Linked DNA regions of Oryctolagus cuniculus. The protein of the gene in region 3 interacts with the protein of the main gene of each other region in a pairwise test. Links are inferred from orthologs where the notes say so. Each region holds a gene or a part of one and is shown on either strand. Other genes may lie near its edges. The genes, in order: P4HA3, SERTAD3, NDN, CCDC136, FAM131C, MKRN2 and GKAP1.

Region 1 (3,943 bases), on a different chromosome or scaffold from region 3:
GAATTCCTGTCCGTACTCGTGTATCCACTTGTTGGCCACTAGGAGGGAGCAGGACCAACAAAAGAGCAAGCTCACTAGTGAACAAACAGAGGCCATGCCTAGGAGCGCGGGCAGGCGCCTCCTCAAATTCTGCACTCTAGTCCCCACCCCGCGATGAACTCACAAGGAGCTGTTTCCCTGGGGTAAATAGCCAGGAGGGCATTGTCCTCTGGGAAAAGCCCAAGAGGTCCTGACTACTGCAAAGCCCAAAGTGGACTCTCGTTCCATTCTAAAAGGCCACCTCCGCTCTGCAGCTGCTTCTAGGTAATCAGAGAAGGGCTGGCTTGGCAGTGTCTATCTCAGCACCAGAGCCCTCCTCCACCTCACTCAGTCCTCAGAGCTACGATGCGCCAGCAACACATCTGTCCACTGCTTGCTTAGCGTTTACTTGTTAGCCACCTCCTGGGGGAGATGCGAGATGGCTGGAGGCAGTGGCTGGGTGGTTGTCTCTTGGGGTAGAGGATGCAGAGGGGTTCAGCCCCACCACCCCGGTCCTCCTGGGCTGTACTCAGGAATTAGGGCAGGACCCCCTCCTGATACCTGTCTGTGATGGGCCCCCACTCCCAGCCATCTCCCAGTCTGCTGGGGCACCTGATTGGTCACCTGATCATCTCATTTACTGTGGCACTGTGCTGAAGCTTCTGGAAGCGAGGGTGGGGTGGAGTGGGGATGGGGGGCCAGCTATGCTATCTCCCACCCAGCCCCTATCTCACTCCACTCTGCAACCCTCAGCTGGTTGTTCCCAGAAAGGCAGGGCTTACCCCACTTATCTCCCACCAGGACAGGACAGCCAGCATGAAGTGTGTCCCCGTCGCCTTCGCCACTCCTGTGCAGGTTCCACCAAAACAGCGCTGCATTCTGAAAACAAGAGGGAGGCTCAGCCCAGGCCCCTGGCCCTCCGGACATGCAGGGGAAGGGCCGGTGCTTAGGGTCATTAAAGACACCGCTGCCCTGTGCAGCCCGGGGACAAGGCATGCACACAGAGCAGCATGTGTGGACACTGGCTCACTCACACGTGGCTGGCTGGTGGAGGGCCTGCCCTGCTCCTGGCCTTGGGGACACAAACAAATCAGGACAGTAGAGAGAGACATGAAACAGACCAGGACAGAGTAGCGAGTGCTAAGAGCAAAGCATGGGAGTCATGGGATCTGTGAGGGATGACACCCGACAAACCTACCAGGGGAACAAACTTCCCCCTAGAACATCAGCCACGGAGTCGGATGCCTGTCTTCCCACGCTCCCCTGGGACACAGGCACTACTGAAATCCCATCTCCCTGCAAAGAAGTGGAGGCTAAGAAGGAGCAGTTAGGCCCCAAGCCCAGGTGTTCTGACTCCACATCCTGTGTGCTCTCCTCACACACACACATGCTCGGGCTTTGTGTCCTATACCCTTCCTGCAGACTGACTTCAGCCTTAGCCATCAGAAGTAGACAACGGCCCAGGTAGTGAAGGAAGCAACGGCAGCCTCCGTGTTTCCAACCCCCCTAGCAAACTGCAGATCCCCAGCGTCTATTTCTCCAAGTGCTTAGGATGAGCTGGCACGGTGCCGAGTGCCTTATAGGCGTGACCTCGTCCTCACTGCATTCCCGAACTAGTTCAGGGCTGCGGGGAGTCCCATCTGAAATCTGGAGGAAATAGCCGTTTGCTAAACAGGCCACCCAGCACATGACCCTCCTGTATGCCCAGCTTCCGTCTTCCATAGCTCAAACCGCAGCATCTTGTTCCCTACGACCACTTTTCTGCGCGCGCTAGAGGGAGTGCTGGGGCTTTCCTCTGGGTGCTCGATGTCTCTAGCTCTCAGTGTTGGATGAGCAAATGACTGAAGGAACTGGTCACTAGTGGAGCCTAAGGTGACTCACACCGAGTTCTTTTTGATTTTAAAAGATCTTGTTTTTTTGAAAGGTTGAATGATAGAGAGGGGGAGACAGAGAAAGAATGAGAGAGAGAGAGAGAGAGAGAGAGAGAGAGATATCTTCCAACTATTGGTTCACTCCTTAATTGGCCTCAACAGCTCATCTGGGTTAGGCCAGGAGCCAGGGACTTTATCTGGGTCTTCCACATGCGTGGCAGTGGAAGGGCAGTCCTTGGGCCCTCCTCTGCTGCTTTCCCAGGCACATCAGCAGAGAGCTGGATTGGAAGCAGAGCAGCTGGGGTTAGAACTGGGGCTCCGATGAGTGATGCCGGCCTCACAGCCTGCAGCTTCGCCCACCACACAGCAGCTCCAGCCCCAGGTGGGTTTCTTAACTTGGGGGAGCTCTGCAGTGGCAGGGCAGTTGGACGTGCCATCGTCTACTTGTAATGCAAGTGCAACCAAAATAACACAGAGGAGCGGGGAACAATCTGTGGTCGCAGGAAAAGCCATGGGCAGGGGGAAACCTCTTCCCATCCCCTCCCAGAGCCAGCTCAGGGGCTGGCCAGCAGGGCAGGGAGGGTCAGCTGGGCGCTTGCATGAGCTCCTCACCTTCACCACTGGCACACTGAAGTTGGCGTAGATGAAGGCCGTGGCTCCTCCGGCTTCCACTGAGCTCAGCTGCAGCCCGAGGGGAAGAAGGCAGAGTTAAGAGGGCCGCCACCTTCTCTGCTGTGTCCCGTGTTCATCGTGATGTTCCTGCACCGCTTCCTTCCCAGGACCGCGATTTCTACTCGGGGAGAAATACTTGGAAGCCCTTCGGGGAGGCTGCTCGGTGGCAGTGGTGTTGGCCTGCAGGGCCATGAGAGGGGCATGGTTTGGGACTCCTCCTTCCCTCTCCCTTCCACACTCTCACCTGCAGGCCTGTGCTTTTCAAAACCATCTAGTATGTGGGACCTCAGGGAGGCCTGTGTGGTTCAAATCCCACCACCTCTTGGCCGTCAGTGTCACCCCACCTGCCACCCTAACCCACGACCTACAACCAGGTCCTAGTTAGAGCCACCCAGTGTAGGCTAGAGGAGGGTGGGGGCCATCTGGTCTTTCTTTCTAGCTCCTATAATAGCTAATAAAAATGCTGTTTGACACAACATTCTGGGAGACTTTTCTCTTGAGTACTGGATAAAATCAATAGGTGAAATCTTTTTGGAAACCAGTTTTTAAAAATAGAGATCCATGAATAATCATTCAGAAAGAAGCCCTGGCCCCTCCAGAGCAAGACTCACATAGATCATGAACGTTGCCACTCGGTTCCCGGACTTCATTCTGTACAGGGGGCTGCTCGGTGACTGAGATGAAAACACAACATGCCATTGTTTTACATGGATGACATCAGAATGATACAGGAAGGGGTACAATGGGGGCATCCAGAGGGGTTGTAGTCCCGAGCTACACCTGTTGGAGTAGGTACCACCTGTGCTGACAGGTACTCCATACACTTTTTCACTATTTCTTAGGTATACATAAAAATTAACTGTAGACTAACCAAAACAGAGCTACTTGTCAGTGGCAAAAGTACCTATATGAGCAGTTAATTGCATCCTTGGATTCTCTAAAATAAGGAAATTAATATAGAAAATATTACAGATTATAAGACTGGTATTCTCAAAGATTTGCTAAAGAGACATAGTCCTTTTGTTGTTGTAGACAGTTGGAGATATAATTTACATACCATAAAATTCACCCACTCTAAGAGTACTGTTCAATGAATTGCAGTACATTTTAACGGTTGTCCAACTGCTCACATCCAATCTCCGAGCACTTCTATCCCCTGAAAAGCTTGCAGTCAGTTTCTGCTCCCACCTCAACCCTGGACAACAGTTACCGACTTTCTAACTCTACAGTTTTGCCTTTTCTAGAAGTCTCATACAAATTGAATCATAAAATATGCAGCCTTTTATGTTTGGCTTCTTGTATATAGTTTTTAGGATCCGTCTATGTTGTTGGATATAGCAGTAGTTAATTATTTTTTATAGCCCAGTGATATTCTATTGTGC
Region 2 (4,473 bases), on a different chromosome or scaffold from region 3:
ACCCAGCGTCCACACCAAGCAGTGGGTGACCACGATACCCGTGCTGCCTGTTGTTAGGGGACCCACAGCACACACAGTGACAGCCCAGGACCACAGTGGGGGAGACACAGGCAGAGGAGCCGGGGAGGGCTCCCCAGAGGGGACCTTTGAGCTGAGTTCCTCCAGTGAGAGGCACCTGGGAACCGAGGGCACATTTTCAGCGTGAGGAAACAAGTTTAAAGAGCCCGAGGCCTGGGCCAGTGCTGTGGCGTGGCAAGTTAAACCACCGCCTGCAGTGCCCCATCCCATATGGGTGCCAGTTCAAGTCCTGGCTGCTCCGCCTCTGATCAGCTCCCTGCTAATGCGCCTGGGAAAGCAGCAGGGGACAGCCCAGCACTTGGGCCCCTGCCACCCACACAGGACACCCAAGTGGAGTTCAAAGCTCCTGGCTTCGGCCTGCCCCAGCCCTCACCGTTGTGACCAGCTGGGCAGTGAACCAGCAGATGGAAGGTCTGTTTTACTCTCCGCAACTCTGCCTTTCAAATAAATAAATCTTTAAAAGGAAAAAAAGCCGGAGACCTTTCACTCTCCATGTTGAGGGCTTGCTGTGCACCTGGCGCTGTTGTAGGCCCCTGGGGTGCAGCAGGGAAGGAAGACAAAATTCCTGCGAACGCGGAAACGAAGCCCGAGTGAAACCATTTCACAGAAACTAGCAGCGAACCCGGGCGAAGGACAGACCGGGAACGCTTCGGGGCTGACGAGTTTAGATTCTGCCTCTGGGGCAGCGGGGAGCCGCGAGCAGCCCCTGAGAGAGGGAGAGACCACGAGAGGACGTGCCGCTGAGTCCTGGGGACCGGGAGGCCCCCGGCTGTGCGGGAGGGGCGGGACCGCGGTCACCCAGGCAACGCAGGCCGCGCCTAACTATTGGCTGGCCTTTAGCTGCGTCATCCCCCAGCGCCCAGCCGCGCCCGGGCTCGGAGCCTCGGGGGCGTGGCCTCCGCGAGTGACTCGGCCCCGCCCGCCCGGAAAGCGGAGCCGACAGCGGCGTAGCAGCCGGTCTTGCCGGGTGACCGGTCCGAGCTGGACAGGAAGGGACGGCAGAGAGCAGCGCTAACGGCCCGGGAGCGAGGGCCGGGGCTGAGCTGCAGGGAGCGGTTTCGGTGCGCCCGCCCCCCCCTCCCTCCACACGTGGCCCCGCCCCGTCCGAGTCGGAATCCTTTAAATGGTCCTGGGCGCTCCCGAGGGGCGGGCGGCGGGGGCAGCTCGGGAGTCCCGCGGCGGCTCCGCCCAGCCAATCGGCGTGCCGCGGCGGGCAGGCTCCAGCCAATCGCAGCTCGCGGCTCGGCTCCGGGGCCGGGCTGGGCGGGCCCGAGGCCAGACGGAGAGGCCCCGGGGCAGCGAGCGCGACTCCTACCCGGCGCTGGTGGGGCGCGGCGCGGCGGGCGGAACGGAGCTGGTCGCTGCGAACTGGTAGCCGAGGTGAGCGGCGGCCGCCCGGCTCAGAACCACACCCGGGGCTGGGGGCGGTGGAGGCGGGGCCTGGGCAGTAGAGGAGGGCGCTGATGGAGGGCGACTGGTAGGGGCTGGGGGACCCTGGACGGGAGGCGAGATGCTTTAGGCAGGATTTTCAAGGGGCGAGAGTTTGAGCTGCGACTCGAGATGTTTGGAGAAGCGAGAGAACCAAGGCGAGGAACTTTTGGGGCAGGGAATCCGAGGACTAGGACAGTGTTGGACTCCCGGGTGGGTTGAATTCGGGGCTCTGTGGCTTCCTGGGAGAAGATGTGAGAGGTCTTCCAGGGCTGGGACACCGAGCAGTCGGAGAAGCAAGGGGACCGGCTAGAGCCGGGGGTTCTCGGAGACCCCGAGACGCAGAGGCGGGCAGAGGGCGCTGAGGAGAGAGCTCGGTCTTCGGGGCTTGAAGCGGGACGCGGAGTTTGGAAAGTGAGAGGACGGAGTTGGGGGTGTGCCTCAAAATTAGGGCGCGCCGTCTCCCGTACCGGCCGGGTCGGAGAGCGCTCGTCGTCTCTGACCTGGGTCCCTGCACCCCGGGATAGTGGGGGGGAGAACTGGGATCCGCGGAACCCGCAGAGTGGGTGGGGGAGGGGCGCTCCGGGCGTGGAGGCACCGGAGGGGCGGGGCGCGGCAGGCGCCCGGCAGCTGGACGTCCGGGTTCCCATCCCCCACCCGGCCGGGCCCCTCTGCGCATGCCCTAAGGGAGGGCGGGGCCGTCCTCCGGTCGGCGAGCTGAGCCCTCTGGGGACTGTAGTGCCGCTACCTGGCGGCTGTTGGCCCGGGCTTCCCAGAAGCCCCCGGGCCAGAAAGGGGCGTTCCTGCGCGGCGATCTGAAGCCGTGGGAGGGGCGGGGCCTGTGGCGGCGCCACGGTCTGGTTGGCTGGGGCCCCCGGGGGCGGGGCTTGGCTAAGTTTCGTGGCGGCGAGTTTTCCTCGGGGCGCGCAGTGGGGGAAGGCCCGAGCGCGGGGAGCGGGGATGATTCGTTCCCCTCTCGTGAGCGCGTCCGTTCGTTAGGGAAGAGGGCATGGACAGAAATGCCCTGCCTGCGAGAGAAGAGTCAGGGCTCGGAGGGGCCCTAACGGAGCTCCAGGCAGCTCTGTGGGACACGCACTCAGCGGAGTAAGTGGCGCCTGAGCGCTTTGTGTGTGCTGGGCCTGGGCACGTGGGAGCTCCCAGACGAGGCGGTGAGAAGCAGTTTTACAGACGAGGAGACTGAGGCCAGCGTCACGCAGCTGAGCAGTGTCCAGGGCACAGGTCAGCCCGGGATTCCCCACTTGGATTCCCCACTTGCAGTCCAGGTCTCTGCGCCTGTCTGTGGGTGACTTGCCTGAAGAAGTGAGAGTTGTGGAAGAACGGTTTCTAGGGTTCGGAAGGACTTCAGTTAGGACCTTGTTCCACAGAGGGGGATGCAGGGTCACTGAGGGCAACAGGCGGGGGCGGGGGGGGGGATCCGAGCCCAGCTTTGCTGGCATCCTGATCACTTTCCTCCCCTCCTTAGCCTGTGGAGTTCAGGTTCTCTCGCTTCTACAGATGAGTAAACAGGTTCCGGTCATTAAAACATTCACCATCAGCTGCGTGAGCCTGCCAGAGAACGCGGGGTTGGAACCGGCCCTGGTGCGTCTGACCTGACCCTCTTCCCTCCCCAGGGCACCGTCATGGTGGGGGGCCTGAAGAGGAAACACTCCGATCTGGAGGAGGAGGAGGAGGAGCAGTGGGCCTGGAATCCAGCGGGCCTTCGGAGCTACCAGCAGGCCCTGCTCCGCATCTCTCTGGACAAAGTGCAGCGCAGCCTGGGCCCGCGCGCCCCCAGCCTCCGCAGGCATGTCCTCATCCACAACACCCTCCAGCAGCTGCAGGCCGCCATCCGCCGGGCCCCCGCGCCCACCCTGCCCCCCGAGCCCCTCTTCTTGGGCGAGGAGGATTTCTCCCTGTCGGCCACCATTGGCTCCATCCTCAGGGAGCTGGAGACCTCGATGGACGAGACCGAAGCCCCGCAGGGCCCCCCGGCTCCCCCGGGCCTGCAGAATCCAGTGCTGCCCCAGCCGGATCCGGTCTTCCTAGAGGCTCTGAGCTCCAGGTACCTGGGGGACGCGAGCCTGGACGACTTCTTTCTGGACATCGACACCTCTGCGGTGGAGAAGGAGCCAGCACTGGCCCCGCCGGAGCCCCCTCACAACCTCTTCTGTGCACCAGGCTCTTGGGAGTGGAATGAACTGGATCACATCATGGAGATCATTCTGGGGTCCTAAGACACTGACTGGGGGGCCTTCCTCTGGGCGGGCTGGATCCCCGGGTACCACTCTGTGTGTTTTGCTGGGGGCTCAAAGCAGGGACTGTGGCCCCCTCGCCTCCCATGTCAGGGTTCCACAAACAGTCTTGCATGTGTGTGTGTCTGGTTAGCGCAGCCTTCTGTGAAGGTGCGTCTTCCTGAGTTAATTTATCTCTTCCAAATGCCTTAACCAGGACTGCCTCTGGGAGTCCGATTTCCCACTTACACATTTCTTCTGCCTCTCCCTCCACTTCCTGCTCCTCTTGTGACCCCTGGCGCCCTCAGGGCAGATGAAGCTGGGCCCATCAGAGGGGGCAGGGATGTGCTGCCAGGTTGCCATGGAAACCCAGTCTCTGCCTCTGGCACCTCGAGGTAGGGGGAGGAGCTGGTCTTCTCCCCCTGGGCTGAACCCCTCTTCCTTGGCAGGACCCCAGTCCCGGCAGCCTCTGATTCATAACCAGGCCGGACCACGTGCAATAGAGTGGAAACCAAACTTCTCCATGCCGCATTATTTAAAAGAAAGGCAGGGTTTGTGGTGGCTTTTTTTATTGTAATTTTTTAAAAATAAAAGTATTTTGGAAGGAAAGGGATTGTTTTCTTTCTGAATGTTACTGGGACAGCGAAAGGGACCTGTACATGCCCTAGACATCTGCATCCGACCCGTACCAGAGCTGGGACAGCAATGTCACTGGAGGAGAGGGTCTTCATAGAGC
Region 3 (3,853 bases):
GATGGTAAAGATTCCACATGGACACTGAGTGGAAAGAGCAGCAGTAGGGGGAATAAAGGATCTGAGGAAACAGGGAAAAGGACATTATCAAACAAGTTGTGCTAATAATTACAGCAATCTTTATCCTATAGAAACCTGATGAAAAGTTAAAATGGAATCAAAGTGACCCAAGGGAAGATGAAAATCAAAATCCATAATCAAAAGACTAATGAATCAACATAAGTAGCTATTTATAGATGAATGAATGAAGGAAATGTGGTATATACACACAATGGAACACTATTCAGCCAGAGAAAAAGAATGCCATCAGTCAGTTGAGGTAACACCAATGAGCCTGGAGGACAATATGTTAATCGATATGCACCAGGCACAGACAGACAAATACTACATGTCCTCACTCACATGTAGAAAGCTAAATAAGTTGGTCTCATGGAAGGTGAGATTAGAAAACTGGTTATCAAAGACTGGGAAGAAGAAGAGAAAGGGAGACACAGAAAAGTCAATTACATGCTACATAAATACAATTAAATGCAACAAAAAAATTTCCAGTGTTCTGTATCACATTAGGTGATTATAATTAACAATACTTTAATTATATATTACAAAATAGCTATATGGAAGGATTTTGACTGTCCCGTAACACAAAGAAATGAAAATGTGGGAAGTGGTGGATATGCTAATTACCCTGATTTGATCAATACACATCATATATATTTATGGAAATAGCACCCTGTTCCCCCAAAATATGTGCAATTATTATGTCAATTAAAAATGTAAAAATACACAAAAAATGTCAAAGTTGTTTTAAACCCATTATCTCCAGCATCATTCACATTTTGCACGGACTGATAGGGAATTTACCAATTCTGCATTCCTCCTTATTTTATACTCTTCCTCCTCCTACTCTCGGAATTTTGTAGGGAGAGACTTCATCAACTCTTACTGGTATTTCCCAGGATTCCAGTCTCAGATCTTCCCAAAGTTCGCATATTTTCTTAGAGAATCCCAACTATTCACATTCTCTTGAGGAATCCCAGCTGCTCCTCTCACTTGGTCGCAGGAAACCGGGAGCTCTCTCTGGGACGCTCCTGTCACACTTAGTCCTGGACAAACCCAGGTGGACCCTTGTAAGAAACTCTACCTCACCACGTGGGAAACTGAAGTTACCATCTTCCCCTTTAAACTTGCCCCTTCCTCAGCGACCACCCAGCCCCTCCTGCCCTCCCCAAGGCCGCCTCGTCCACGCAGGAAACCCGGGGTCATTCCCATCAGGCCAGCAGCGGCTCCACCTCAGACCCTCGCCGTCGGGCGCACAGCCCCTCCCCTCCCGCCCAGTCCGAATCGCGCGGCCCGCGGACGCGCAGGCGCAGTGTCCCGTCGTCCCGCCGCCGCCCCGCCCTGCCCGCCGCTGCGGAAGGCGCCGCGCGCAGCTACGCGCACTTCCTCTCAGGGAGACCGCGGAGGGAACGCAGGCTCGAAGAGCTCCGGGACGCTGAGGCCCTGCTCCTGTCAGACGGCGCAGACATGTCGGAACAAAGTAAGGACCTGAGCGACCCCGACTTGACAGCCGAGACCCCCAGCCGCGAAGTGCACAGCAGCCCAGGGGTTCCGGCGGGGGGCCCTGCGCCCGTCTCCCCTGCAGCGACCCTCGCAGGGCCACAGAGCCCTCCTCCAGGCCCGACGGCGCTCTCACAGCCCGAGCCGCCGCCCCAGGCCCCGAGCGATGAGGATGACCCGAAGGCCCTGCTGCAGGCAGCTGAGGAGGGCCGCGCCCACCAGGCCCCGAGCGCGGCCCAGCTGGGCCCCGCGCCGCCCGCCCCGGCCCAGCTGGTGCAGAAGGCACATGAGCTCATGTGGTACGTGCTGGTCAAGGACCAGAAGAAGATGATCATCTGGTTTCCAGACATGGTGAAAGATGTCATTGGCAGCTACAAGAAATGGTGCAGAAGCATCCTCAGGCGCACCAGCCTCATCCTCGCCCGAGTCTTTGGGCTGCACCTGAGGCTGACCAGCCTGCACACGATGGAGTTTGCGCTGGTCAAGGCTCTCGACCCCGAGGAGCTGGACAGGGTGGCACTGAGCAACCGGATGCCCATGACAGGCCTTCTGCTCATGATCCTGAGCCTCATCTACGTGAAGGGCCGAGGCGCCAGAGAGAGCGCCGTCTGGAACGTGCTGCGCATCTTGGGGCTGCGGCCCTGGAAGAAGCATTCCACCTTCGGGGACGTGAGAAAGCTCATCACCGAGGAGTTCGTCCAGCAGAATTACCTGAAGTACCAGCGCGTACCCTATGTTGAACCTCCGGAGTATGAGTTCTTTTGGGGCTCCCGAGCCACGCAAGAGATTACCAAGATGCAGATCATGGAGTTCCTGGCCAGGGTTTTTAAGAAAGATCCCCAGGCCTGGCCTTCCAGATACAGAGAAGCTCTGGAGGAGGCCAGAGCTCTGCGGGAGGCCAGTCCCAGTGTCCACTGCCCCCGAAGCAGTGTGTCTGAGGACTAGTGAGGTCTGGAGGCAGATTGATGGTTTCCAACCCCCACCAGGGCTGTGGAAGGGTGGGGGGCAGGTCTTAGAGTATTCAGGATTTACAGTGCAGTATTTCACGTGTAACCTTTCAGTTATCAGTACAGTGCTTTTATACCTTTTAATGCAATGTTGTATTCATTTGGGTACTATCAAGTAGTGTCTAGCATTTATGCATGTTTGTTTATAAGTAAGCTCTGTTGGTGCTTCGCTTTTGTGCTACCTTTCTTGGATTTTTTGTACCAGAGATGTGCTAAACTTATGAAATACATTGAGAAGTTTTCCATCTTATTCTTTTATATGGGACGATTGATGTGTACTGTATGATTGATGCACCTGGTGAGTGTGGAGAACTCACCAGCAAAGCTGGCCTAACCAAGAGAAAAGCCTAAGGCCCCTCTTTATGACCTTGATGGGCATGAGCAACATCTGGAGTGAACTGTTTTGAACTGAGATGGTCTCAATGTGGGCACTTGGCACACTTTACTAAACACATATACAACCTACCATGAGTAAACTTTAAACATTAAAGATTCTTGTGATACAATCATTTTTGGAGAACTGTACTCTATCATTTTAATAAACGGTATCATAGGGAATGAGAAGGGATTCCCCATTGTACAAAATATGCAAATACTTCATGATTAATCCTAAATGTGTATTTATATTGTATTATAAATACAACTCATATTTGTTTCAAAAGGTTTGAGAAATACAGAATGTGTAATGTCCCCAAAACAAGTAAAATTTTCCACAATCATAACACAAGGAAATAGCAATTGATCATATTTAAGATAATTTCTTGCCTTCATTTTCTATACTTTATCAAAGTTAATAGCTGCCTTTAGTGGTCTCTTAAAGAGGGAGGAATAGTGTTTTGTTAACTTTTGCCTTTTATTTAGTGCCCTCACTAAATAGTCGCTTATTACATCCACACAATGGAGGAAATCAGGAACAAAGTAGGGATGAACTTTGTGTAACTCACATAGCTGAGTAAAAGAGGGTGCTAGGATTTGAACCTATGCTATGAATCTGGAGCCCACATTCGTGCCCCTCAACCTACAACTCTACCTGTACCTCCTGGTTTTAGTTTGTTTATTCATTTTTTAAAAACTTAACTTTCACTCTTAGCTCCTAATCCCAACACTCAGGGGCTCAAGTGCCCCAACCACCCAGCCCCACAGACTAGTTAGGGATTTTGTTTTTCTGATTCATATCTTTTAGGCAAAGCGATATTACTCTGATTATAAAAACTAAGAAGCTTTGCTTCACAGAGATTGGTTGACCTAACAAAGTCCTATCCTTTCTTAGCACTGAAGCCAAAGTTTGA
Region 4 (3,358 bases), on a different chromosome or scaffold from region 3:
AGCTGTGCTGATCTGAAACCAGGATCCTGGAGCTTCTTTCAGGTCTCCCATGCAGGTGCAGGGGCCCAAGCACCTGGGCCATCTTCTACTGCTTTCCCAGGCCATAGCAGAGAGCTGGATCAAAAGAGAAGCAGCTGGGACTCCAACTGGTGCCCATATGGGATGCTGGTGCCGCACGCGGAGGATTAAGCTACTGCGCCACAGGGCCGGCCCCGACAGTTCCTTCATTAAACTCTTTGGTTAGTTCTTGGAGTGTGCCACCCATTTACTGCCAGGATCCTGACCAACTAAGTAGAACAAACAAGGGAAAAGCCACGAGAGCTCCCACACAGGTCTCAGGGTGTCGTCACACAGATGGGGACACAGGAGCCAAGTCTTTTGGCCCCGCCTCCCAGCAGATACCCAGTCCGTTGCATTTCTTTCTGCTTAGATGAATTCCTTGAGATGGGCTGAATAAGCGGAGACAAATCCATCTGCCATTCAGCTGACGGCCCAGGGAGCTAGCCTTGTATCTGAGGCCAACTGTAGGGCGAGAGATCACACTGGGGAGCCAGACCCCTGTGTGAGCACTTGGTTAAGGAGGAACCATCCTGTCCTGGTTATGGTGCGAAGCACTCAGCAAATAAAAAGCCACAAGTCTCACGTGATTAGGTTGATATTTAATTACAAGGAACCCAGGTTCTTATACAAGGCAGGAGGTGGGAGCCAATAGTTCCCATAAGGCTTTGCAGCCTGAGTGACTGAGGCCAAGGAGAGAGGGACACATGGGACACATTGGTAGGGTGGGGGCTCTGGTACAGTGCATCCTGCCCAAAGGTGAGAGTGGCTGCTGCTGGGGGTCTGCCCTCTCCACTGGCCCAGGTCCGCCATCACTCCATGAGGCAGAGCTGTGTCTCTTGCGGTCGCATGTTGGGTAACACATACAGAGCCACAGCTGCAATAGCCAAGAACACCATGGGCTTCCACATCCCAAACATGTTCTGTGGGGACCAAAGAAAAGCCGTGAGTGCCCAGCCTTGAACCCGTCCCTCAGCCAGAGACCCCCTGCCTGCTGGTGCCCGGGACACACACCTCCGGGGCACCATGGGTCACCTCATACCTCCTGGGCAACCGTGGAGACCGTGTGGGCCCTGGGCCCTGACACCGCCAGGTCTGTGGCACAGCACATGCTGGCCGCATCCCCTTAGTCCGTGCCTGTATCCATGCCCCTGTCTCTCCCAGTGGGAGAACACTAACTTGTATGTGTGGGAGCAGCCCAGGGGCCAGACTGCAGATTCTCCAAGTGGTTGCAGTGAGAAAGGGGGTCAGCAGAGAGTCAACTGAGGCCTTTGGGAAAAGGGGTGGCACCTCGTTAGCCGTATAGAAGGGAAAGGAACTCAGACTGAGGGGGGAGGGGAGGTGCCCCAGGGAGTGCAGGAAAGTAGGAGTTCTTTGGCAGCCAAACCTGTTATGCAGAATGGAGTTGGTTCAAGGAAGTTAAAAGAAGCCTGATAGTGGCCCTGGGAGGCACATGTCAGGCTCACTAAGACAGCCCCGCCCACGGGTGACTTCCTGGCACGTGTGCTAGAGCCTGCGAGGGAACCCTGCTGGTCGGCGGGACAACAATGATGCCAGCAGAAGACACCCAGAGAGCATCCTCTAGTGCCTGGGAAATCGTCAACGAGAAAATCCATACTCGGGGAAACAGTTCCTGTTCTTAGCTCTTTAACTGTCTTCCTTGAAAGGCGGGCTTTGGATTTTTAGTCGTGAGCTATGGCGCGTACGTGACGCAAGGATGGTTTTAGGTAAGGGTGGAGTAGGGCCGTTCATGCTACCAGCAGCTTCTCAGAGGATAACGGATCTGAAAAGAGGATTTAAGTCCACTCTAGAGGGCAGAGACAACCTCCTCAATCTGAAGACATAGTTGTTGGGAGGAACAGAAGGCACGAGATGGACAGCAAAACCGCGCGGGCGTGGGTACTCAGAGTAACTCACGTAAGCATGAACTGAGAAGGCGGCTAGAAGGGCTACTGCCCGGATGTCGCGTCCTACTGTGCGCAGCTAACCGTGTCAGTGTGGTGTTCTCGCGGGAGGACGGGCAGAAACCCATCAGCCTGGAAGGGTGGACTTCACCCTGGCAGAGGCCGGAGTCCACACCGCGTGAGCAGAGGGAAGCTTCGGGGTCCCGAAGGAGCGCGTCCCACCAGCCTTGCCGACAGCCTGGGAATCGTGTCTGAGATTCCATCAAGCGGTGCGACAGGATGTTCCGTGATATCCTTGCAGATGATACGTGCAAGTAAGAGCAGGCTGATGGTGTAGCCTGCTGCATGACCACCTGCTAGTGATCAAAGGGCTGCGTAAAAGAGAAGCTGGGGCGACAACACACAGGAGACTGGCTCCCCACTCGCAGCCTGGATGAGGGCAGGAGGCATACTTGTCACCCTGGGGGACAATGTGAATACTCAGAATGGAGAATTCTGCCAAGGGACCCAAGACATCGCGTGCAGCAGAGGGTGCTGAACACACGCAGGGCGCGCAGGGGCTTCCTAAACAACACAGGAGGTTATCGAGAGCTCCGTTACCCGGCATTGCATAAACAGAAACGTGGCGTCTTTCCAGTTATGTGGGGGCCCACAGAGGGACAGCGTGCAGAGCGAGAGGAGGTGACACGGACAAACGGGGGCAGAATGCCATGTGCTGCTCATATTCCGTCCTGATGACCCGACTCACGATATCCTGGCTGTATTACGTAGCCTCCCCATGTCTTGCTGTGAGCGTCTATAAATGACAGTATTCACAGTCATAGCTTCCTCATAAGAAGGATGAATTAGTTTCTATAAATCAAGTGACTGCAAGTGGCCAGCTTGTCATATGCATTACGGAGGTGTGTGCTCCTTGCATTATGCATGTAGTATTTCATAGCCTACACAATACTTTCACACTCATTAATTCAGCTGATCTGATCCTCACAAAAATCCCCTGAGGAAGGCAGGGCTTAAGCATCTTTTGTTTACATTTGGAGAAGCTAACGTTGAGATGACGCATTTTGCTCACCAGGACAGAGCCTGGAGGAAGGAGAGAGAGACTCAGCTGAACACCGAGGTGTGGCCAGAGCTCTGGGATCCGCAGCTGCCCCCAGGAGGGCCCTCCTCTCATTGTGACCCGGCCTGGCGGAGGTGGAGCTGGGGAAAGGCACAGCTGAGTGCTCGGAGCCTCACCCTACAGGGACTGCTTAAGACGTGTGCGAGTGTACAGGCGAGCAGGAGGTACAGAGAGACCCCGTCACCAACAGGTGTAAAGAGAGACCAAGAGGAGAAACAGGAACATCCTTAAAAGAAAAAAAAAAAAAAAAAAAAAAAGGACAAGGGTTGACGAAGGG
Region 5 (4,548 bases), on a different chromosome or scaffold from region 3:
CCCAGCAGCGCTGGGGTCACACAGACCCCCATCTCTGAGCCCCACTTCTGCCCCACAGGGTTGAATGAGAGCTATCTGGGTCAGGAGAGCCAAGGCTCAGGCTGGCCCAGCAGAAGCGCCCAACAAATGGTGGCTTAAAAATAGACGACGAACACAAAACAGCTCCTGGAAACAGCGCGAGTCGCCTTCATCCGGCCCCAATCACCTCCCCGCTGTCCCCAGGGCCTCAAGTGCCTTTTCCCAGGAGGCAAGCTGGCGCCCAGGGCCTCTGCAGCTTCCCCTTGTCCAGCCAAGGTCTGGACTAGCCACCTGCATAGAGCGACACCAAGGGCACCAGCTAAGCCTCTGAGCGCTCGCAACGTGACAGGTTCCAGTCTGAGTGCTGCGCAAGTACTAAGCCATTTCATCCCCCCAGCACCCCCATGACGTCAGTACTGTTAGGATTCCCATTTTAGAGATGAGAACGCCAAGATACAGCTACAAGATCAAGGAACTAGTGAGTGGTTGTGGCAGGGATTCAAGCAAGCAGAAGCCCCCTGCTGGGATGGGGTGGCCTGGGGTGTGGCACGGCATCAGCCTCATGCAGAATGGGGCTCATGGCCCTGGCTTGGGCTTCAGACTGCGTGCCTGGCCCTGGGAAGCACTTGGTGCTGGCGAGGAGACCAGGTGGGGGTCTCAGGAACGCGCGGAAGCCTGCAGCTCCAGAGGAGGAGGACAGGGGCAGGGCGGTGAGGTATAGACACTAAGGACGTCTGCATGTCAGGGCTCAAATCCTAGCTTTGCTAAGTCCTAGCTGTGTGGCCCAGGGCACATCACTCAGCTGTCCCCTGCTTCGGATACAAACAGGGACTATGGTAGCAAATAACCCAAATCAGCTTTTTGCTCCACTACTTTCAGACCAGTACCTGGTAAGGTGGAAGCACTCAGAGAGAGGATGAGTGACAAGTAGAGGGGCAAGTGGCTTCCGCTCAGTGGCTCAGCCACCCAGAGTTCTGGGGACAACGGCAGTCCTCTGCCCTCAAAGCTCCTCTTGCATGCTGAACCTCAGGAGGTGGACAGAACTGCAGGTGCACGTGGGGAGCCCAGGCTTCCAAAGGATGGGTGGAGCCGGCACAGACCTGCCAGGGTGACCGCAAATGGCCCTGACAGAGGGTGCCATGGAGGGAGCACCAGGCAAGGGTTTCCCAGGGCCCAGACCCACAGCATGACCTTGGCGGGCGTCTTGCCCGCTCCCTCTCTGTCCTGTGCTCAGTGAGCCCTCAGCTCACAGGCCAGTCCATCTGGGGCTGGGGCCCTACGGCGCCTGGCACAAGATGGCCAAGGCATGCGGAAGGGACACAGTCTCTGAGGAATCACCAGACCCCAAACACCTAGAGCTGGCCCCACCCGGACCCCTAACACTGAAGCTGGCCCCACCCGGACCCCTAACACCTGGAGCTGGCCCCACCCAGAGACTGCCAGAGCCCTGGAGGTTTCCGGAGCCCCTCGGGCACCGACAGCTGTCCACAGGGACCCTTAACTCCTCTGAAGACTGCTTCCCCTTGCTGGGCAGTGGCTGTCACAGATCAGGTGCTACGCTGGGTCCACGGTGCCAGCACGCAGTAGGTGTCATTACTGTCAGCTGAATCAGGGGTCAGCGAATGAACCTCCCAGGGCCCAGCCTCCTCCTTCCCCTCCCCACCCTGATCCCTCCGGCCCACTCCCCTGAGTGCCCGAGAGCTACCCTCAGAGTCCAGAGGACGGGGAAAGGGTGTCATACTCCTTCCTCCACATCCCTCCCAGGGAACCTCCCGTACACCCGAGCAAGATCTGGGGAGTGATGGACGCGGTAGCCGGTCCCCAAGACCCTGTGGGTGGGCTCAGCGGGTGTGGACTCAATCTGCAGAGCCAGAGCCAAGGCCAAAGTGCCCGGCTCTCCCAGCCCTGCCCCCCCCCCCACTGTGTGGGGAGGGGACTCCCAGGGGAGGAGGGCCCCAAGCCAACACCTTTCCTGAGATGCACTCGGCAGCCTGCCGGGCAGCAGGTGCAACCCTGCACCCACCCCCCAGTCCCAGACAAGAGAGGCAGGCAAGGGCAGCTCGCTCCCCGCTCTGGTGACTGAGGGTGGAGGGTCCGGTGAGAAGCAGAGGAAGGCCCAGGGTTACTGGGAACATCAGGTGTCCTCTGTCCCTTCCTGTCCCCTGACCAAGGAGAGGGTGGGGACGAGGTGGGGGAGGGGCCTTCTTCATAACCTGTTCCCCACCAGAGCCCTTCCTGCCAAGTGGGTTCAGGGGCTGGAGTCGGGTTGGGGGTGGGGGTGAAGCCTGTGCCTTGGGGGTCTGGGGCGGAGGACGCCCCCGCGGCCCCTCCAGAGAAGCCAGGAAGACTCAGGGGCTCCCTCCCTCCCAGGCACACGGCAGGGGCTGCGTGGCTGCTGGGGCGGCCACAACGCGGTGCCCTCGCACGGGCTCTCCGCGCTGCCCCGTGTGCTCAGGGCACCGTGGCCCTGGGGGTGCGGCTGCTCCGGGAAGCACGGGTCGCCGCCCCCAGCCCTTGGTTCCCTCCCAGCGCCCCGGCCCGCGGCCCCCTCACCTCGCGACACGCAGGAGCCCATCACGGGGCCGCGGGGCCGGGCCGCTGCGCCTCGGGTGCGTCGGGCCGCGGGGCGCTCATGTCTCCGCGGGCTGGGGCTGCATGCGCGGCTGGCGCGAGGCAGGCGAGCAGGCGCGCGGGGACCGGGGCTCAGGTCCGCTCGGCCGGGCCTCCGCTGTCGCCGGGTAGCCCCGCAGCCGCCGCCGCCACCAGCGCCACCGCCGCCGCCTTCCGCGCCGCGCCCGCAGCTGCCAGGGCGCGGAGCGGGGGGCGCGGCCCGAGGGCGCCCCGCCCCCGCCCCGCCCCCCGCGCACCTGTTGCCTGGCTTGGCTGGCGGCGGGGAGGGGTCCAGCGGTCCTCAGCGCCTCCCACCGCCTGGTGGCTGGGCTGAAGGTCAGGGAAGGGGCAAGTGGGGGCAGGGAGATTTCTGGCATTTGGGTCACAATGTAAACAACCTCCCCTGAACCGAAACGACAGCCTGACAAGCCGCAGGGTGGGGTGGGGAGTGACACAATAACTCCCATTATGTCCACTTTTTAAAAAATACATTTTGTTTTTATTTGAAAGTCAGAGTGACATCCAGAGAGAGGAAGACACACACACACACACACACACACACGAGAGAGAGAGAGAGAGAGAGAGAGAGAGAGAGAGAGAGAGAGAGAGATTTTCCATCTTCTGGTTCACTCCCCAAATGGCTACAATGGACAAATCTAGGAGCCAGGAGCTTCATCCAGTCTCCCACCTGGATGCAGGGGCTGAAGCTCTTGGGCCACCTCCTGCTGCTTTCCCAGGCACATTAGCAGGGAGCTGGATCAGAAGTGGAGCAGCTGGGACTCGAACCGCCGCCCATATGGGATGCCAGTGTTGCAGAAGGCAATTTCACCTGCTATGCCCAGCGTCAGCCCCCATTATGTCCATTATGCAGAGGAAGACATTGAGGCTCACAGAAGTCAGATATCCATTTATTTATTTATTTGTTTGAATGATAGAGTTACAGAGAGAGGGATGGAGAGACACAGAGAGAGGTCTTCCATCCTCTGGTTCACTCCCTAGATGTCCACAATGGCCATAGGTGCACTGATCTGGAGCCAGGAGCCAGGAGCCAGGAGCTTCTTTCTGGTTTCCCACATGGGTGCAGGGGCCCAAGCACTTGGGCCATCTTCCACTGCTTTCCCAGGCCATAGCAGAGAGCTGGATCGAAAGAGAAGCAGCCAGGACTCGAACCAGCACCCACATAGGATGCCGGCACTGCAGTCGGAAGCTTAGCCAACTATGCCAAAGCATTGGCCCCAGATAACCTTTTTTAAAGATTTGCTTATTTGTTTGACAGAGAGAACAGATTGAACCATCAGCTGGTTCAATCCCCAAATGTCTGCAGCAACTGGGCCTGGGTCAGACAGAAACCAGGAGCCTGGAAATCCATCTGGGTCTCCCAAGCAGATGGCAGGGACCCACGTTCTTGAGCCGCCATCTGCTGCCTTCCCAGGCACATTAGCAGGAAGCTGGATCAAAAATGGGGCAACTGGGACTTGAACTGGCGCTGACACGGGAGGCTGGGTCACGAGCAGTGGCAGCACCACAGCTGGGGCCCAGGAGTCAGGTGCTTTGCGCAGGGGTCCTCCCCTGGGAGGGTCCGAGACCGTGGAGTGTCAGCTCCTTTGTGCTGGTGGCCCCGCTGCTGGACAAGGCTCTCAGGCAGTGGGGGGAGGGGCGAAGCTGCCTCTTAGGGTTTATCCAGCAGGGTCCTTCTGGGACCCTTGGGTGGCCGCTCTAAGGGAGCAGCGGTGGCCCACACCAACCACTCACACCGCTCCACGTGCACACACACTCACATACACACATTCAGTCCCACACGGAGTCACAGTCACACTCACACACATACACACACTCTCAGGCTCATGTCCTTCCATGTGAACACACACAACCCCACGTGTACATGCCCCGACCCTCCCACACACTCATAGGCATACATTC
Region 6 (3,943 bases), on a different chromosome or scaffold from region 3:
GTCAAGGGTTCCCCCAAGCTCACATCTCCCCAGGATGCCGATGCAGGCACTGGCACTGTTGGGAAATGGGCTCCGCCTGCTGCAGAGCCGTTGGAAAGCACCTCTGGCCTCGTGCCCACGTCTGGGTTGAGCTCTGCATTAGGAAGACCAGAAGAAGGGATTTTTGTCAGCACGGAGCTGCCGTCTTCAGAGTGTGGCTGTCCCGTTGGCAAGACAGCACTCAGTTCAGAGCTGAGCAGTTCCATAGAGCATGCTTCACTGTTTGACTTGAGGTCAGCGTGGGCAACCTCGGCACACAGAGCAGTGTCGGGATGTGGGGGGTGTCATGCCCTGGGACAGGGAGGGCAGAGGCTGCGGGTTCTGGAGAGTCTGCAGCGCCTCCAGTTGGCACTGTGAGGTAGGCAGGTTCCATCCTGAGCAGGGGCCATGGCAGTGGACGTGCTGGGAGGGCAGCCCCAGGGTGCAGGCTGTCTGGGGGGGAGGTGGCCGCGGCACTAGGCTTTTATTCAGCTTGAGTTTCAAATGAGAGGTAGTTTGGCTTAGAGAGAACCCCACTGTTTCTGTTGCCCTCAATGTAACTTGCCTTTGACTCGTGTCTGAGTTTTTTTGCTTTAGTATGACTAGTCCATGTATGACATTTTTAGACATGCCCATTGTAAGCAGCAGTTTTAGTGTTTGATGTGTAAATATATCATGTTCTGTTTTGGCGTTTCCATCTTGCCATGTGTGTGTGTGTTTTTTTTTTGTTTGTTTGTTTGTTTGTTTTTTGCTTCAGCACTCCTACTGAAAGAAGTGGCATTATGAACATTTTAAAGTGTTCTGTTCTTTATTTCTCTTTGGCCTGTTCCAAGGCTGGAACTCCTTTGAGTTGCATGATTGGTTGGTTTTGGCTGATGGCTTCCTGTAGAGATGGGGCGGGTTTCATTTGTGTGCACTGTGTGTGTTCTGTTCAGATCTCTCAGGCTTGGCCGAGGAAAAGGCTCCTCCCAGCGCAGTGAGTAACCCAGGCAGCTGCAGTGACCCCCAGACCAGCCTGGAGGTGAAGCCACATTCCTACCTGGACGCCATCAGGAGTGGCCTCGACGACCTGGAGGCCAGCAGCTCCTACAGCAGCGAGCAGCAGCTGTGCCCGTACGCAGCGGCCGGGGCGTGCCGGTTCGGGGCTGCCTGCGTCTACCTGCACGGGGACGTGTGTGAGATCTGCAGGCTGCCAGTCCTGCACCCCTTCGACCCCGAGCAAAGGAAGGCTCATGAGAAGGTACAGTCGCACAGCTCTGTGTGAATTTCCTGTAAGGTACAGTCACACCGCTCTGTGTGAATTTCCTGTAAGGTACAGTCGCACCGCTCTGTGTGAATTTCCTGTAAGGTACAGTCGCACCGCTCTGTGTGAATTTCCTGTAAGGTACAGTCGCACCGCTCTGTGTGAATTTCCTGTAAGGTACAGTCGCACCGCTCTGTGTGAATTTCCTGTAAGGTACAGTCGCACCGCTCTGTGTGAATTTCCTGTAAGGTACAGTCGCACCGCTCTGTGTGAATTTCCCGTAAGAAATGCAGAAGCTGCTATGCGACAGGCTCGTCGTACGCCCACATCTCTTGCCAATGGGACCTGCATTGTGTACCCAGCTTCATGGCGTCCTAGTTTCAGGTTCTCTTCCCACTTCTCAGTTTGCCAAGTTTGATTTGCTTACAATAAAGAGAAGAGGAGGCTTCAGAGGTGGGGAGCCTTGCACAGTGGAGCCCTCCCTGAAGCCACGCAGTGCTGCGCTGGGAGCCGGCCACGCTCTGTGTTGGAAGCGTTGAGGCACCACATGATAGGATCTGAGAGCGAAATGTAGGAAGGGACCTACAGGTCCCGCATGGCCTGCCCTCCCATGAGGCTTTGTGCTGGGCCAGGGCTCTGACGATGGCAAAGGCACGTAGGAGCCTCGCGGCTGCAGTGCTGGGGGCCAGGTTCCTTCAGGTTCGGGACGGACATGGTGGCCACCACGTTCAGGGCTCCCCTTGTGGGAAAGGGCGTGAGCAGTGCAGCCGAGGCGTCGAGGGCTGAGTGCTGCCTGCCTGTGGACTGGGAGAGGCAGATGTGTGTGAGGATGGGGCTGTCTCCACGTCTTCCCAGGGGACAGGGTGGTGAGCACAGAATTGGAGCTTTCCTCTCCACCTGGTCATCTCACATCTGTGCCCAGTGAGCTCCCCAGGCCAGCTCAGGGGAGGGACTCGGGGCACGCCTAGCGCGTGAACTCATGACGTCACGTCACTGGGGAGAGGTAGTGCCGCTTACCTGTGACTCTCAGGCTGAGGACTGCGGAGCATTTCTGATAGAGCTGAGGAAGGCAGTGGCCAGAGGAGCCAGGAGACCAGAGCTCTGGTCCCAGGAGCTCTGCCACCCCGCCGTGGTCCTTACAACCCGTCTGGACCTCTGGTCTCAGCTCCAAGCTGTGCCAGAAAGCAGGTGGCTGAGAAGACCTTGCTGTATCGGAGAGAGGCCTGCGTGCGGGGCCTGACCCTCCACTTCAGGACGTCCTCACGGGGGCAGCGGGGCAGTGGCCTCTCCTTGGGTGCGCTTCACTGCTGGGTGTCACCGTGTCCTCTCTGCACTGCAGATCTGCATGTCCACCTTCGAGCACGAGATGGAAAAGGCCTTTGCCTTCCAGGCGAGTCAGGACAAAGTGTGCAGCATCTGCATGGAGGTGATTCTTGAGAAGGCGTCCGCCTCCGAGAGGCGGTTTGGGATCCTCTCCAACTGCAACCACACGTACTGCCTGTCCTGCATCCGGCAGTGGAGGTGTGCCAAGCAGTTTGAAAACCCAATCATTAAGTAAGTACAGCCGGGGTGGTGGCCGTTGCCAGCAGGGCCCTGCCTCGCCCTCCCCTCCCCGCAGTGTCTGCGGGGCCCTGGCCCTCCAGCATGGAGAGGCGGTGGCGTCTTGACCTGCTGCACCACAACACTGGCCCTCTGGTTGTTTTTGTTATTCACACTTGAAAGGCAAAAAGGTGGGGGGGGGGGGTGAGGGAGGGGAGAAAGGAGAGTAGCTCCCCTCTGCTGCTTCACTCCCCAACTGTGTGTAGCAGCCTGGGGACCTGACCCAGATCTGTGCCTTGCAGTTAAGTAACACGGAGCAGCTGGATCCCGTTTGTTCCTGCACTCATCTGCTGGTGACCCTCTGGGCTGTCGCCGCTTATAGGCTGTACCTGCTTGTGGGCAAGTCTCTGTGGTCATGCTTTTTCTCCGGATGTGTACCTCAGCGGGAGACCGCGAGACCCCAGGGTCACTTCACAGTTCCCACCAGCAGTGACAGAGCATTCTGCTTTCTGTCCTCACCAACGTGTTTTATTCCCGATTTTAAGCAGCCTCATGGGTGTGAAGCATCTCCTGTGGTCTCAGTTTACATACACCTTGTAGTGAATCATGTGGAGCATTTTTTATGCCCTTCGTGGCCATTTTGGAGAAATGCCTACTTTGTTCATTTTAATGAATTTAGATCATTAATTTGAAAAGTTAAGTTACAGAGAAAACAAGAGAGATCTCTGATTTGATGGTTCCCTCCCCAAATGGCTGCAGTGGTCAGAGCTGGGTCAGGCCAAAGTCAGGAGCTTCTGGGTCTCCTGAGGGGCCAGGGTCCAAGGAGCTGGCATCCAGTGGGATGCAGGCATTGCAGGCATTGCAGGCGGCCCCTGAACCTGCTGCACCACAATGCCAGCCCCTTTACTTTTATTTTTCATGCCTGAGAAGAACCTGTGTTTAACAAGAAATAAGGTTCTTAAAGTCTGTAGTGGTCACACATTAGAGCAAGGAGTTTACTAGTGGAGTGTGCCCAAGAGTTGGAAGTCACATCCCCCTTACCAACCTCATTCTTATTCCAGGTCTTGTCCAGAATGCCGTGTGATATCAGAGTTTGTAATTCCAAGTGTGTATTGGGTAGAAGATCAGAATAAAAAGAATGAG
Region 7 (4,453 bases), on a different chromosome or scaffold from region 3:
GGAACTAGGGGGGCTGGATCCCTAGACTACCCCTGATCAGGAAGTGGAAGTCTCCCACCTTCGATGACAAGCACTTGGTCATAACGACCACCCCACCTAATCACAAAAGGCCTTCTTCCTGGGGCTTGTCTGCCTCTGTGGTTTGGGAGACTGTTAACCAATACGCCTTCCCACCCTGCTTTTGTGAAACCCGATTCACCTTGCGCTGGTGATTCTGCATAATCCTGGTTCCACCGCTTCTTTTCCCCCTCTCTGGGCTGGTTTCCCTCATCTACATCAGAGCTCCTCAAACTCGGACGCGGTACAGACCTCTCAGGCTTCTGGGGTGGGGCATGAGGGTCCACGTGTCTCACGGATGCCTCAGTGATGACCACGCTGCCGGGCCATCCGCCAGACCGTGAGCAGCAAGTCTCTCAATACGTCCCGAGACCCTGTTCTTCCTCACGGTGAGACTGCTGCCAGACAGAGGAGCAGTCCCCGATCGGTGCCTCGCTCAGTCCTCTTCCCGGTATTCCAAGCCTTTACTCCTAATTTCTTAGCGCCGCTTCTACCTGGCTGTCTTGACAACCCTTCAAACCCTTAAAATGTCCGAATCTAACCTGATCGTCGTCTTTCAAAATTCCACCTGCGAACCTTCTCTGTTACAACCGTTTCTTTTCTAAGTATGTACAAACTCAAATCTCTGCCATCTTTGATTTCTCTCTTCCCACGCACAACCAATGAGTCGGTGGCTAGATTCTTCAGATTACTGTTTCTACACCGCATCTCAACCACACTCCTCAATTCCTCCTGTCCAGGTCTCTGCCAACGTGTCTGCATACCTTCACAGAGACATCAGCAGCCCCAAGGAAGAGACGTCCTTTTCTTCTCCCCAGACTGTTGGTAAGGCAAGCTACGAAGTGACTACAGACCCCTGCACTTGCTATCTGCGGCCCCCACTCTCCTGTTGTCTCTGCCACTTCTCAACACACCCAGAGGCTCTGCCGGTTCCGCACACACAACTCTGATTCACTTCGGGAGGCCAGGGGGTTCTGCCTCTCCACTCCTGCGGGCCCACCCCAAGGCCGTCTCCTCCGCGCTGCCTTCCTGCCCGATGCCCCTTGGTCCTCCTCAGCGTGCACCTGCCCCGCTTTCATCTCCCTTTTCGTCCCTACTTTTTGGGGGTGAGGGTAACATACCCCTCCACGCCTCTCTGTAGCGCCGAGGTGTGTTATTCTACGGGGGCAGGGGTCCAATCACGTCACAGTGATTCAGGGTCGCGGGAGGCGGTGGCAGGCGTCCGGCCGGTCTCCGGGGTCCAGCCCCGGCACGTCGTGGCCGGCAGGCGTTGGGTCTCTCACCGTCGCTCCGGGATGCGGAGCGTGACGCCACAGAGACCCGGGCACGGTGCGTCACCGCCCGCACAGAGCCCTCCGGGCGGGCTCGCCTCCGGCACCGGCACTCGCAGCGCCGGCCCCGCTTCACCGAGCGCAGGTCGGCCCCGCGCCCTCGGCCCCTCGCGCCGGCCCGGGGCCCGCTCACCGCGCGCTCGGCGATGCTGCGGGGGCGTGGCCCGCGAGGCCGCCCGCCTCCTCCCGCCGCTCCGGGACGGCGCCTCTCCCTCTCTCTCTCTCTCCCTCCCCGTGACCCCGAGGACCGCCGCGCCGCCGCCTACGTGAGACGTTTGGACCCTGCCCGGCCCCCGTAGCTCCCCTTCTCCAGCAGGTGGTTCTAGTCCTCCCTCTTCCCTCAACTCGGGGCGCGCGCGTCCACCCGCCCGCCTGCGGACCCCGCGCCAGCGACGCCCGTCAACCGAGCAAATAAACAAACCCCAGCGCGGCGGCGGCGGGCGCGCAGGCCCCGCCCCCCGCCCGCGGCTCTCACGCCGGCCCTCCGCCGGGCTTCCCTCCCGCGCTCGCTCCCTCGCCCGCCCGCTCGCTTCCCCGCCCCTCCCCGCAGCTGCGGCCGCGCTGGCCGGCCCGGGACCCGTTCGCGTCCCCGCGTCCAGCCCGGCGGGCCGACGCGCGCCCGCGCCCCGCCCCCGCCGACACTTGACCCTGCCCAGTCCCAACGCCCAGTGCGGCGGCCACCTCAGGAGCTGCGGGAGACGCGGCGGCCGCTGAGGCCCGGTGAGTCCGCGGACGCCGGCCGGCCGGCCTCGCGCCCCTCAGGGCGGTTGCGGCGGTTCGAACGCGCCCTCCCGAGCGCCCACCCTCGGGCTGGTCGTGGTGAGGACGCGGCCCCTGAGGCCGCCCGCTTGGCCAGAGCCGCTGGGCAAGAGGGCGCGGGAGGGCCGGGCTCTCGGGCAGGGCCGCGGGGCGGCCGCTCGGCGCAGGGCTCGGGGGCGCAGGGGCCGCACCGCAGGCCGCGGGCCTGCACCCCGCCGGGGGCCGCCCGGCTGACAGGTGCCGCCGCCCCCGTCCCCGTCCCCGGGCCGCCCGGCGCCTGGAAATTTCTGGAGCGACGCCCCGACCCGCTGTTTTCCACCCTTCGCAGCGCCTGCAGCCCGCCTCGGGGCTCGCCGGGGCCCTGGTTCCTCCTCGGCGTACTTTGCGAGTAAGTTTGGAAGCATCGGGTGAGATTTGGCTTTGGTTCACGCAGGAGGTATAGTGAATTACTTTTTGAATATCGAGCTCCTCCTCCCTGCCAGCTCTGGAAACGGAGCGAGGCGAAAATTTAGACTTTTTTTTTTAATCTTTGATTTTTCTTTTTTTTGGGGGGGGGGCTGTTATTTGGCACAGTCTTTCAGGTTTTTTTTTTTTTTGGGGGGGTCAGATTTCTAGCATTTACGTGTTTACTGCATGTTGACGGGTAATGACAAAAGTAGTTTCTCTGTCCTTTTCTCTCCACGCTCGCTCTCCCCCTTTTACGTATCGGCCTTAGCCAGATTTTTCACTTGAGTAGATGCTAACGCTGTCTTAAGAAGTGCTGATGAAAAATCATCTTTCTTATACCGAAAAGCCAGTGAGTGATGTTTTCTTTCCTACACCTTTCAGCGATGTCTCTGCGTGCGTCTAACTGAAATAATCAGTTTAAAACACTTGACGTGTGTCGCTGTGAAAATGAGAAATAGGGCGTTGAAGTATTAGAATCCTTGATCTATAGGACTTAATAGGATCTATAGGATTTTTTTTTTCCTCAACCGTTGGTGGCTGTCAAATTCTCATTAATTAATTAATTAATCGTCTATTAATTGTCATAAGTGGTCTTGGTAACTTTTACTGAGAGACGTCAGCCCTCTGGAGAAAATCAAGAGCCTACAATTGACCAAGCGAACACTGGGGACGGGTGAAAAGACCAGGGCTTTCTTATCCGTGACAGAAGCCCCTGGGTCCCCTCTCAGTGCCTGCTCCTACTCCTTGCTTTGATTTCTCAGCCCACAGAAAATTGGGAGCTGTGGATTTAGGGGATGCAGTACTTAATTGTGAGGAGAAAATGGAGTTTGGGCACGTTATGTTGTTTGTTTGCAGTAGGTGGGCTGTGAGCAGGTGGGCTGTGAGCAGAGTTCCTGTATGCACTTGGCCGTTTGCTGTGGACATTAGTTTTTCAGAAGTCAAATCGAATGATACAGTCGTGTTAGGAACAGAACCTGAAGTAATGAATTGTTTTAATGTCTTAAATCAGTGATGTCCAGTGCCGTTTCATGTTATCTCCAATCTAAACTGCATTTCAGTGAGGCCACGCCAGTTGGCGCCTACATCATATTTATTCTTTTTTTTTTTTTTTTTCTTTTTGAGTGAGGCTTTCTGGTTGATGGTATTCCTTTTATTAGAAGGGAAGTGGGGAACCCACGTTTTGGTATAACAGCTTAAGCTGTGGCAGGCATCCCATATGGGTGCTGGTTTGTGTCCTGCTCTGCTTCTGATCCAGCTCCCTGCTAAAGGCCTGGGAAAAGCAGTGGATAATAGCCCCAGGGTTTGGGCCCCTGCCGACCAAGTGGGAGGCCTGGATGTAGCTTCAGGCTTCTTGCTGGCCCTGCTCCTTTGGACTGCCTCAGCACTGGCCTTTGTGGCCTTCTGGGGAATCAACCAGCAGATGGAAGATCCCTCTCTGTAACTCTGACCTTCAAAGTAAATAAATCTTTAAAAAAAGAAAGGCAGGGGACAGGGATACGGAGCCAGTGTTGTGGTCCAGCCAGATAGGCTGCCACTTGAGACTGTTCTGAGTCCTGGCTGCTCTGCTTCCAGTCCAGCTTCCTGCGAATGCACCTAGAAAGACAGCAGACCTCGGCCACCTGGTTGGGAGACCAGGATGGGTTTCCTGGCAGACCTTAGGCCTGGTCCAGACTTGGCTGTTGCAGCCATTTAGAGAGTTAGCCAACGAATGGCAGAACTGTCTCTCCCTCTATCAGTCTGCCTTTCAAATAAATAAATAAATCTGAAAAGAAAAAAAAATCAAAAGGGATATATTTGATTGCTCTGAGTTTTTGAGGTGCCCTAATTATGATCTGCTGGATTGAAATATGGTGGCTGTC

What was found.
Region 1: the proteins of NDN (region 3) and P4HA3 interact in a two-hybrid assay, tested with the Homo sapiens proteins (2 studies listed by BioGRID). The link is inferred for Oryctolagus cuniculus from reciprocal best matches to the Homo sapiens genes NDN and P4HA3.
Region 2: the proteins of NDN (region 3) and SERTAD3 interact in a two-hybrid assay, tested with the Homo sapiens proteins (2 studies listed by BioGRID and IntAct). The link is inferred for Oryctolagus cuniculus from reciprocal best matches to the Homo sapiens genes NDN and SERTAD3.
Region 4: the proteins of NDN (region 3) and CCDC136 interact in a two-hybrid assay, tested with the Homo sapiens proteins (2 studies listed by BioGRID). The link is inferred for Oryctolagus cuniculus from reciprocal best matches to the Homo sapiens genes NDN and CCDC136.
Region 5: the proteins of NDN (region 3) and FAM131C interact in a two-hybrid assay, tested with the Homo sapiens proteins (2 studies listed by BioGRID and IntAct). The link is inferred for Oryctolagus cuniculus from reciprocal best matches to the Homo sapiens genes NDN and FAM131C.
Region 6: the proteins of NDN (region 3) and MKRN2 interact in a two-hybrid assay, tested with the Homo sapiens proteins (2 studies listed by BioGRID and IntAct). The link is inferred for Oryctolagus cuniculus from reciprocal best matches to the Homo sapiens genes NDN and MKRN2.
Region 7: the proteins of NDN (region 3) and GKAP1 interact in a two-hybrid assay, tested with the Homo sapiens proteins (2 studies listed by BioGRID and IntAct). The link is inferred for Oryctolagus cuniculus from reciprocal best matches to the Homo sapiens genes NDN and GKAP1.

What each region holds. Positions count from the first base shown.
Region 1 is NC_091432.1:65,520,069-65,524,011, forward strand, and holds part of P4HA3 (prolyl 4-hydroxylase subunit alpha-3), read right to left. Parts: intron 3,236-3,943; coding exon 3,173-3,235; intron 2,571-3,172; coding exon 2,502-2,570; intron 898-2,501; coding exon 801-897; intron 39-800; coding exon 1-38. UniProt on the Homo sapiens protein: Catalyzes the post-translational formation of 4-hydroxyproline in -Xaa-Pro-Gly- sequences in collagens and other proteins.
Region 2 is NC_091449.1:13,879,304-13,883,776, forward strand, and holds SERTAD3 (SERTA domain-containing protein 3), read left to right. Parts: upstream 1-1,324; 5' UTR 1,325-1,458; intron 1,459-2,373; exon of another isoform or gene 2,374-2,745; intron 2,746-2,989; exon of another isoform or gene 2,990-3,137; 5' UTR 3,138-3,146; coding exon 3,147-3,740; 3' UTR 3,741-4,346; downstream 4,347-4,473.
Region 3 is NC_091443.1:13,452,517-13,456,369, reverse strand, and holds NDN (necdin), read left to right. Parts: upstream 1-1,391; 5' UTR 1,392-1,524; coding exon 1,525-2,502; 3' UTR 2,503-3,073; downstream 3,074-3,853. UniProt on the Homo sapiens protein: Growth suppressor that facilitates the entry of the cell into cell cycle arrest.
Region 4 is NC_091434.1:165,016,502-165,019,859, reverse strand, and holds the end of CCDC136 (coiled-coil domain-containing protein 136), read right to left. Parts: intron 981-3,358; coding exon 664-980; 3' UTR 640-663; downstream 1-639. UniProt on the Homo sapiens protein: May play a role in acrosome formation in spermatogenesis and in fertilization.
Region 5 is NC_091438.1:153,562,244-153,566,791, reverse strand, and holds the start of FAM131C (protein FAM131C), read right to left. Parts: upstream 2,836-4,548; 5' UTR 2,594-2,835; coding exon 2,572-2,593; intron 1,355-2,571; exon of another isoform or gene 906-1,354; intron 1-905.
Region 6 is NC_091441.1:114,690,051-114,693,993, reverse strand, and holds part of MKRN2 (E3 ubiquitin-protein ligase makorin-2), read left to right. Parts: intron 1-953; coding exon 954-1,258; intron 1,259-2,600; coding exon 2,601-2,815; intron 2,816-3,861; coding exon 3,862-3,943. UniProt on the Homo sapiens protein: E3 ubiquitin ligase catalyzing the covalent attachment of ubiquitin moieties onto substrate proteins.
Region 7 is NC_091432.1:134,781,710-134,786,162, reverse strand, and holds the start of GKAP1 (G kinase-anchoring protein 1), read left to right. Parts: upstream 1-1,562; 5' UTR 1,563-1,704; intron 1,705-1,969; exon of another isoform or gene 1,970-2,108; intron 2,109-2,192; exon of another isoform or gene 2,193-2,583; intron 2,584-4,453. UniProt on the Homo sapiens protein: Regulates insulin-dependent IRS1 tyrosine phosphorylation in adipocytes by modulating the availability of IRS1 to IR tyrosine kinase. Its association with IRS1 is required for insulin-induced translocation of SLC2A4 to the cell membrane.